2 linked regions of the Oryza sativa Japonica Group genome follow. The protein of the gene in region 1 binds, or shares a complex with, the protein of each later gene. Links are inferred from orthologs where the notes say so. Each region holds a gene or a part of one and is shown in the gene's direction. Other genes may lie near its edges. The genes, in order: cBL-interacting protein kinase 23 and calcineurin B-like protein 1.

What was found.
Region 2: cBL-interacting protein kinase 23 (region 1) and calcineurin B-like protein 1 share a complex: the UniProt entries of both Arabidopsis thaliana proteins name them as parts of the K(+)-channel calcium-sensing kinase/phosphatase complex. The link is inferred for Oryza sativa Japonica Group from reciprocal best matches to the Arabidopsis thaliana genes CIPK23 and CBL9.

The regions. Positions count from the first base shown.
Region 1 is NC_089041.1:2,656,759-2,661,014, reverse strand, and holds the start of cBL-interacting protein kinase 23, read left to right. Parts: upstream 1-1,451; 5' UTR 1,452-1,730; coding exon 1,731-1,901; intron 1,902-2,429; coding exon 2,430-2,492; intron 2,493-3,087; coding exon 3,088-3,159; intron 3,160-3,244; coding exon 3,245-3,352; intron 3,353-3,440; coding exon 3,441-3,521; intron 3,522-3,757; coding exon 3,758-3,811; intron 3,812-3,938; coding exon 3,939-4,064; intron 4,065-4,158; coding exon 4,159-4,248; intron 4,249-4,256. UniProt on the Arabidopsis thaliana protein: CIPK serine-threonine protein kinases interact with CBL proteins. Binding of a CBL protein to the regulatory NAF domain of CIPK protein leads to activation of the kinase in a calcium-dependent manner.
Region 2 is NC_089044.1:22,989,746-22,994,013, forward strand, and holds the start of calcineurin B-like protein 1, read left to right. Parts: upstream 1-1,271; 5' UTR 1,272-1,521; coding exon 1,522-1,600; intron 1,601-1,740; coding exon 1,741-1,823; intron 1,824-4,268. UniProt on the Arabidopsis thaliana protein: Acts as a calcium sensor involved in abscisic acid (ABA) signaling and stress-induced ABA biosynthesis pathways. Contributes to the regulation of early stress-related CBF/DREB transcription factors.

The DNA.
Region 1 (4,256 bases):
GGAAGAAATTAACCGAAGAAAGAATCGCCGGCTGCTAGCTTCCAAGTTCCAACCCCTCTCTCTCTCTCACTGGCAGCTGGGCCCCACAAGTCCCATCCTCCTGGGTCCACCCCTAACGCGGTGCTAGACTGATCAATATTATCTCCATTCCACGAAGAATTCGTTTCATTTCTATCGTTTAAAATCTATCCCACTAAAACTTTAATTGTAAAGGTAATATCATATTAGTATAAGACATATGCATTAAAGTGTAGTAGAAAAATACTCCCTCCATTCCAAATTGATCTACATATTTCATAGGTACACTAAGACCAAGAAAAGCTAATAACTCTCTCATACTACATTTACTCTAGCAACAAACTCAATGCATGCACCATCCCCACTATTTCCTATCCAATAGCAAATCAAGATATTGCATGTGGGTTATAGATACTTGTGTGCATGGATGCATGCATCAATGTCCATTTACTCCAATGCACAAATAACGAATAGACTTAATAAATGAACACAAATATGTAGATCATTTAGGAATAATCTTAAAATATATATATATAGATCAATTTGGAATGGAGGGAGTAATAAGAGTGTCATTACCATGAGGTATTATTTTTATGTTTCCAAGGATATCATATAAGCAACAAAATATTTAATTGATGACTGAAAATAACTTATATAGCTCGATAGGTTAGATTACTTGTGATGGAAATAGCCCATACCCAAGTCCAAATTCTAGATTTAACACGAGCGCTCGTATTTATGACTAATTATTCTTTCGCTAGACGTTCGTGGTGACTTCGTCAATCTAAAAATGTACAATTATGGGCATCTATGTATGTACTATCTTCATTCCAATTTAAGTGTAGTCATGAGTTTTCGTGTTCAACGTTTGACTGTCCGTCTTATTTAAAAACTTATGAAATAATTTTAAAAAAGTCACAAATAATATACTATTCATATTTTATCATCTAATAATAATAATAATAACAATTATATTTGTTTTAAATAAGACAGAAGATCAAATATTATATATAAACAGTAGAACTACACTCTTTTTGGACGGAGGTAGGACTGTGTTTCTCAGAAAAACTTGTACAATCCTTAGTTTTACCACGTTATTACAAATGCTGATGTGACAGCCTTCCCAATGACAATGAAACACCCATTAAAAGTAACCTAATATATGAACCAACATGGTTATTATTCCCATTCTATTTTTTTTCTTCTAGGTCGCTCAAAATTAAATGAAATCTTCTAGACGTAGAGAGCACTAAATTACTAGTAATTACCGCTAGTAATCACGATAATAGTATGGCCTAGGAGTAGTAAAATATTTCCTTAGCTGAGAAGAAGGGAGAAGCGTCGACGAAAACGCCTTCTTCTTCTTCCTCCTCCTTCGCCGCCGCCCACCGCGCCATCGCCTATACATACCCACCCCCCACCCACCTCCTTGTAAGTTGCAACCTCCCGCCTCACCCGCCGCCATTGACGACCACCGCGCTCGTCCCATCCCATGCCTGCGGCCGTGACCGCGAGGTTGTGAGGAGAAGAGAGTCCCAAGAGAGGAGGATCGATGCGGCAGCGGCAGGCCGGCGAGCAGGAGGCGGAGCTGTTCGTCCAGTGGAGGCCCTGCGACAAGAAGCGGTCCTAGTCGCCCGCCGCCGCTCGCCCACTCGCCGGCGTCGTCGATCTGAGAGGGACAGGGGAAGAGGAAGAAGCAGAGGAGGAGGAGGATGAGCGTGTCGGGCGGGAGGACGCGGGTGGGGAGGTACGAGCTCGGGAGGACGCTCGGCGAGGGCACCTTCGCCAAGGTCAAGTTCGCCCGCAACGCGGACTCCGGCGAGAATGTCGCCATCAAGATCCTCGACAAGGACAAGGTCCTCAAGCACAAGATGATCGCCCAGGTCAGCTCACCCATACTATTTTCTATCCCCCCAATCGATTCTCGATTTGGAGAGGTCTCCATGGATTTCTTCCCATGATGATAGTACTGTTCGAATTTCTCGCCTTCTTGTTTTTTTTTAATCATATCATACGCTGTTCTTGAGTGAATTTCGTGGACAATTTCAATTCCTATACGTACGAGTCCCAAATCATGAACAGTTTGTACTACTGCTGTTTTGTTTCCTCTCACGACAAGACGTGATGATTTTGTTTTAACCAGAAACAGTAAACATTACTAATTACTACTAGCGTTCTTGCTGCAAAAAAAAAAAGGTTTGGTATCGTTCCAAAATTGCGTTCTTACTTCCAAAATTGCAACAGCCTAGACTTTGACGTGAGGTTAGCACGGGCGCCTCGTGCAGTGTTCGTTGGAACTTGTGCTGAGTTAGTTATTATTAATGTGCATCAACTTTGGCTTAGCTTCTGACTTTTTGTGGGGGAGTTCTGACTTTGATGTGTGTTTGTGGTTTGTGTGGTGGTGTTTGCAGATAAAGCGCGAGATCTCCACCATGAAGCTCATCAGGCACCCCAACGTCATCCGGATGCATGAGGTTTACTAATCTCCAATCATTAATCTCAGCTCATCTTGCCCATGGAAAAATTTTGTAACTGATGATAAGTCCACCAATGAAATCGACTAATCATAAGCAGAGCTCGTGATTTTGGTTCGAAATTTTCGAAATTTCGGGTCTACCAGTGGGTCCTGGTTGGATGTGATTCCCAGTCTTGAATTGTGGATTTTTTTTTTAATTTTGTAAAATTTGTTCGAATTCAGCTAGAGCCTGTTCAAAATTCATTTTTTTTCTGGTTTGAAACTTCTGAAAAATTTTGGTCCCCCCCAGATTTTTTTTTTCTAGGCCGAGATTGTGAACCCTGCTAATTAAGTTAAGATATGGTTCTCAAGGCTTTGAGCAATCTGAAATTATGAAAAACCAGGGTAAATTAAATTGGTCAAGGATGACATAATGAACAAGTTGTTCCTTCACATGAAAAGTTGCAATTAGAGATCGTTCTGGAAGGAAATTCCTGTGACACTAAACTATGTGTTATCTGAAACTTTCCTAGCTCTTGCTTTCTGATATTTTCCTTTTGTTGTCTTGGCTTTATGTCGATCTCCACTTAGTGGTTTTGTTTTCTTCTCTGAAGGTGATGGCCAGCAAGACCAAAATATACATAGTGATGGAGCTTGTCACCGGTGGTGAACTTTTCGACAAGATTGTGAGTGCTTGGCCTTTTCTATCGACATCTGAATTACTCTTTATGCTATGCACACATGTTCAATTTGTCATAATTCCTGTTATAGGCTTCGCGTGGGAGGCTGAAAGAGGATGATGCAAGGAAGTATTTTCAGCAGCTGATCAACGCTGTCGATTACTGTCATAGCAGAGGAGTCTATCACCGGGATCTCAAGGTTAGCGGCGTTTAACTGTTTGCGGTGTTTACTACTGCTATGCAAGAGAGCCGAGAAGCAGTGAATTGATACACAAATTCAATTTCAGCCCGAAAATCTTCTGCTTGATGCTAGTGGCACTCTCAAAGTATCAGATTTTGGGCTGAGTGCACTGTCTCAACAAGTCAGAGTAAGTAATTTGACTCTTCCTATTTATTCTTTTATTATCTTTTTGTGGAGAGTTTCCTTTTATTCAAAGTGATGAAAAGCCGAGAGTTGTTAGTCGTAAAAAAATTAGCATTTCAATTGCTTTCTGTAGATTCCATTTGTTTTCTACATCTTTTCACATGGTAATACAGATAGTTTCAGATCCATCTGAATAAAGTTCTTACATTAGTGCTGCATATCTTTCTGTTTACTCTGCAGGAGGATGGTCTGTTGCACACTACCTGTGGAACTCCTAATTATGTTGCTCCCGAGGTACCTTCTTACACTCATACATTAAACTAGTATATAGTTATTATCATCGTTGGATTGAATATTTGTTTTCATGTTACTTATCTAAAAAAATATTTGTTCTCATGTTTCAATAATATTGTCTGTGCAGGTTATCAACAACAAAGGATATGATGGAGCCAAGGCTGATCTGTGGTCATGTGGAGTGATTCTCTTTGTCCTCATGGCAGGCTACCTTCCATTTGAAGACTCAAACCTCATGTCACTTTACAAGAAGGTTGGTCCCTCTTAACCATGTCAAAGGATTGTTGGTTTATGAACCCTAAACAAAGTTTTTGTTTGGAAGATTAATGTGATTATTGCTCATCCAGATCTTCAAAGCAGACTTCAGTTGCCCGTCTTGGTTCTCTACAAGTGCGAAGAAGCTCATCAAGAAAATACTAGATCCTAATCCTAGCACCGTATGTTT
Region 2 (4,268 bases), on another chromosome or scaffold:
AACCTCCAACCAAACCAGACCAAATCCGAAGAAGGGAGGCGGCGAGGTGGAGGGATATGAAATTCTCTTCGTCGCCGTCACCGGAAAGCGACGAGGGTCTCTTGGTCGGACTTGAAGCCGAAGCGAAGCAGCGACGGCGACGGCGAGGTGCGCGACACGTGGCCCCCACGAGTGCCGTCGCTTGTCACGTGGGCCCCACGCGTCAGCTCAGCTAATCGGCGGGCGGGGTAGGAGTGGGGCCCGTGGATTAGGTGGCGTGTCCTGTGAATACGACGTGGCCGTTTCGTCGCTCCGGGTTGCCACGTGGCTCCATGTACGTATTATATGGAGGCCCACGCTCAGAAGAGGGCGGTGTCCAGAAACATGGAGCTGGGCTTTTCTTTTCCAAAGATGCTGGGCCGGTTTTCTAAAGTGCAAACCATGGGCTGCACGATAAATTAATTGATTAATCAGTTTTAGCTAGTAATCGTTAGCAAAGACGTTGGTTAACTTGGTTTTCTTGCTAGTTTCGTAGGGATTTCAAATGGTTATGAGCAGTCGTTCAAAAAAAAAAGATGATTATGAGCCAAGCAAACCATGGGACTACTATCAATTCGAAGCATCCGCTCGAGAATCTTCCATCGAAGATTTGGAACAATGTTGAATTTCTTCGATGTGACATAAACAATCTGCCTGGTCGTGGTTCACTACTGTGGTAGTAGTACTATTAGATTACTCTAATTATTGCGCGTGGCTGAGGTAAACCATGACACATTAGTGCTGGAATTGTTGCATGTGACCGAGAGGTAAGATTAGCGCAAGTTGGCTTGCAATTTCTTTGCGAAATCGTATGATCTGCTAATATTCCGTGTGGCTCTGCCCCTTCTCGCTGATTGGAGTTGCGCTTAGCCGTCGTAATAGTCATTTTCTTTTTCTTGGTTTTTTTTTGTCTTTTCTTCTTTTTCTTGGCATAAGCCAGTCTGTCTGATTGCGTTATGTAAACAAATATTTTTTTTTAATATATTGACTTAATTGTTTTGCGCGTTCGGAAAAAAAAATCTGCGAATATTCCCAGCTGACCAAAATGGGAATGGACGACGACGACGAGGTCCTCCCTTCTTCGCTTCTTCCAATCCATGGGCCGCAAGTCCGCAAGGGCCGCGCGCACGTGGGCGCGGTGCGGGTCTTCTTTCCCAAAAGAAGTCGGGGGAAAGCGAGGCGCAACGGACTCGGGGCCCACCTATCGCGTAGGTAGTAGGACTAGGAGGAGGCATAGCCCGTCTCGTCTCGACACCCCTCCGACCCCGACGCGTCGCGCACCAAACCCCCCCGCCCCCAACCCCGACCTCCTCCCGTGCTCCGCGCTCCGATCCGCCGCCGCCGCCGCGCGCGCGCCGCCGGGGGAGTGCGCCGGCGTGTGGTGGTGGGTGTGTAAGGGTAGGTGGAGGGGTGGGTGATGCGAGATCGGCCGCGGCGGCGGTAGAGGGGGTGTGTGTGCTCGGCTACTCCGGTGGGTCGGGTCTGGGCGGGGTGCGCGTGGGGATGGGGTGCTTCCAGTCGACGGCGAGGCGTCCGCGCCCGGGGTACGAGGACCCCGTCGGCCTCGCCTCCGAGACCGCCTGTGAGTTGTTGTTGCTGTACTTGCCACTTGAGGAGTACTCTACAGTACTGTATTTCATTTCATTTCATCAAGTAGTTCATCTGATTTATGCAATCGATGGGCGTACTGGAAATTCTGAGTTAGTTGTTTTGGATGTGTAGTTAGCGTAAGTGAGGTGGAGGCTTTGTTCGAGCTGTTCAAGAGCATTAGTGGTTCTGTGATCGACGATGGGCTCATCAATAAGGTGAACATCTAACTGTTTCTTGGGGGTATCTCACCATATTGGCATCATGGCATGTGTGATTATGAGCATCCTGATACATTTACTAATCTGCTTTTATAGCTTGTTGTGGAATTACAAAATTAGACCTTGCCGCATTCGAATATATCTACTGTTCCGTCTTTCATCACCATATTGGCATCATGTCATGTGTGATTATGAGCATCCTGATACATTTACTATCTGCTTTTGTAGCTTGTTGTGGAATGACAAAATTAAACCTTGCCACATTTGAATATATCTCCATGTACTGTTCCGTCTTTCGCTGGATATGAGAGGAGGTGCTCTCATATCGGAATTTATTAAGAGGGGAGTGAGGCTCGAACCTGGGTCGGCTAGCCCACAACTTGTGGTGCTAGCCAGAAGACCCCCACGCCTTTCTCACTGTTCCGTCTTTCAGGTTTCAGCTGCACAAATTATGTGGTGGATGCCATTTTCTGTGAATCGTTTTGCTATGCTGGCAGTTCTATTCATTCATCTTTGAAGTGAGCATGAATCTTTGTTGTACACACCCCGATCCTTTATTCCTCTTGTACCGCTCATTGTATTATGTGTTTGCCTTCTAAATTGTTGAATTTTCTGTGTATCAAAATGTGATTTTTTTCCTCAAAGTTTAATAGGAAAAAACTTGTTCCTGATATAAACCATCTGGCTACTATCACAGTATAACAACACAATGATAGTTCAAAGTTTGAGTCACTTTCTTCCTGCCTTGTCAATATTGATTTGCCGTGCTATAAAGCTAGACATAATGCGTTTCTCTTGCATCTTCACTTTTGTTTTTTGCATCTTCTTGTTGCGTCTTGCGTGGCGAAGAAGTTCATTAACTGCTATCTGAGAAGCCATACAGGTTCATGCACATCTGCTAGTTCTCATGAACTATAATCTTGACGTCATCAGTAGCTAAATTCACGGTATGAAATTAGGGACTACCTATCTAACGTTCGACATAAAATCCCCCCAAAAATATGCCGTAACTACAACACAATAATAGTGTAATTGCTGTTAGAATTTCAATGGTTACTCTCATTGAGAAGAGGATGGCACTCGAGATGGGGCAATTTTCTGGTTTTCTTCATTCACTAAACACAAAAGCCATATCCTCCCAAAGAGGATTGGATACATATTTATAGCTGCTTGTAGCAGCCATGCAGCCATGCTAGTCTAAGAGGGTGCTGTCAGCATCCCAACAAACTGTCCTAGAGCAGAGCATCCCAACAAACTGTCCTAGAGCATCTCAACAAACTGCTGTCCTAACTGTCCTAGAGCATCCAAACTGAAAGTAGAGATGCTGTCCTAGAAAGCTGAAAAACAGGAAAAAAGGCACCACAAGACCAAGACCAACCAGCCAAGACTTATTCCTACATTCTCCCCCTAAGTCTTGTGCGCCGTCTTGTGGGAGAGTTGAGCCATCCCGATCCGGGAGCAAAGCTCAAGGAACTTGATCCTCCCAAGGGGTTTGGTGAGCAAATCCGCAAGCTGGTCCTTGGTGTTGATGTAGCTCGCCTTGATGCTCCCTTCCTCCAAGTAGCTTCGGATGAAATGGTACCTCACTCGGATGTGCTTGCTCCGTTCGTGAAAAACGGGGTTTTTTGCCAGGGCCAGAGCGGACTTGCTATCCACCCTGAGCTCCACCGCTCCAGTATCTCTGCCGAGGAGATCACTAAGCAGTCGAGCAAGCCAGAGCGCCTGGGTCGAAGCGGCGGATGCCGCCATGTACTCGGCCTCGCAGCTGGACAGGGCCACCACCTGCTGCTTGATTGACTGCCAGCTAACGAGGCACTCGCCGAGGAAGAAGAGAATCCCGCTCGTGCTCTTGCTGGTGTCGATGTCGCCGGCGTGGTCGCTGTCGCTGTACCCGACGAAGTGTGCCTTGCCAGGACACCTCGGGTAGTAGAGACCGTGGTCGAGAGTCCCCGCAACGTAGCGGATGATCCTCTTCACAGCCTGCTGGTGCTCCGTCGTCGGTCGCTGCATGAACCGACTGACGTAGCCGACGGAGAAGGCCAAGTCCGGCCGTGTGTGGGTGAGGTAGCGAAGGCTCCCCACAAGACGTCGGTACTGTGTAGCATCCACCTCCTCCGCTGTGCTGTCGCGGCTCAGCTTCAGTCTCTCCTCCATCGGAGTGAGAGCTGGGTTGCAATCGGTGAGCCCAGCCAGCTCAACGACGCGCTTGGCGTAGGCGGTCTGTCGAAGCGTGATCCCGGAGTTGTCCTGGTGCACTTCGATCCCCAGGTAGAAGGAGAGAGGCCCCAGATCACTCATCTGGAAGGTGGCCTTCATCTCCTCCTTGAACGCCGCGACCTCTGCATCCTTGGTGCCGGTGATCACTAAGTCGTCGACGTAGACACCCACCAGCAAGGCATTTCCTCCATTGCCCCGCCGGTAGATGGCCGCCTCGTGCGGGCT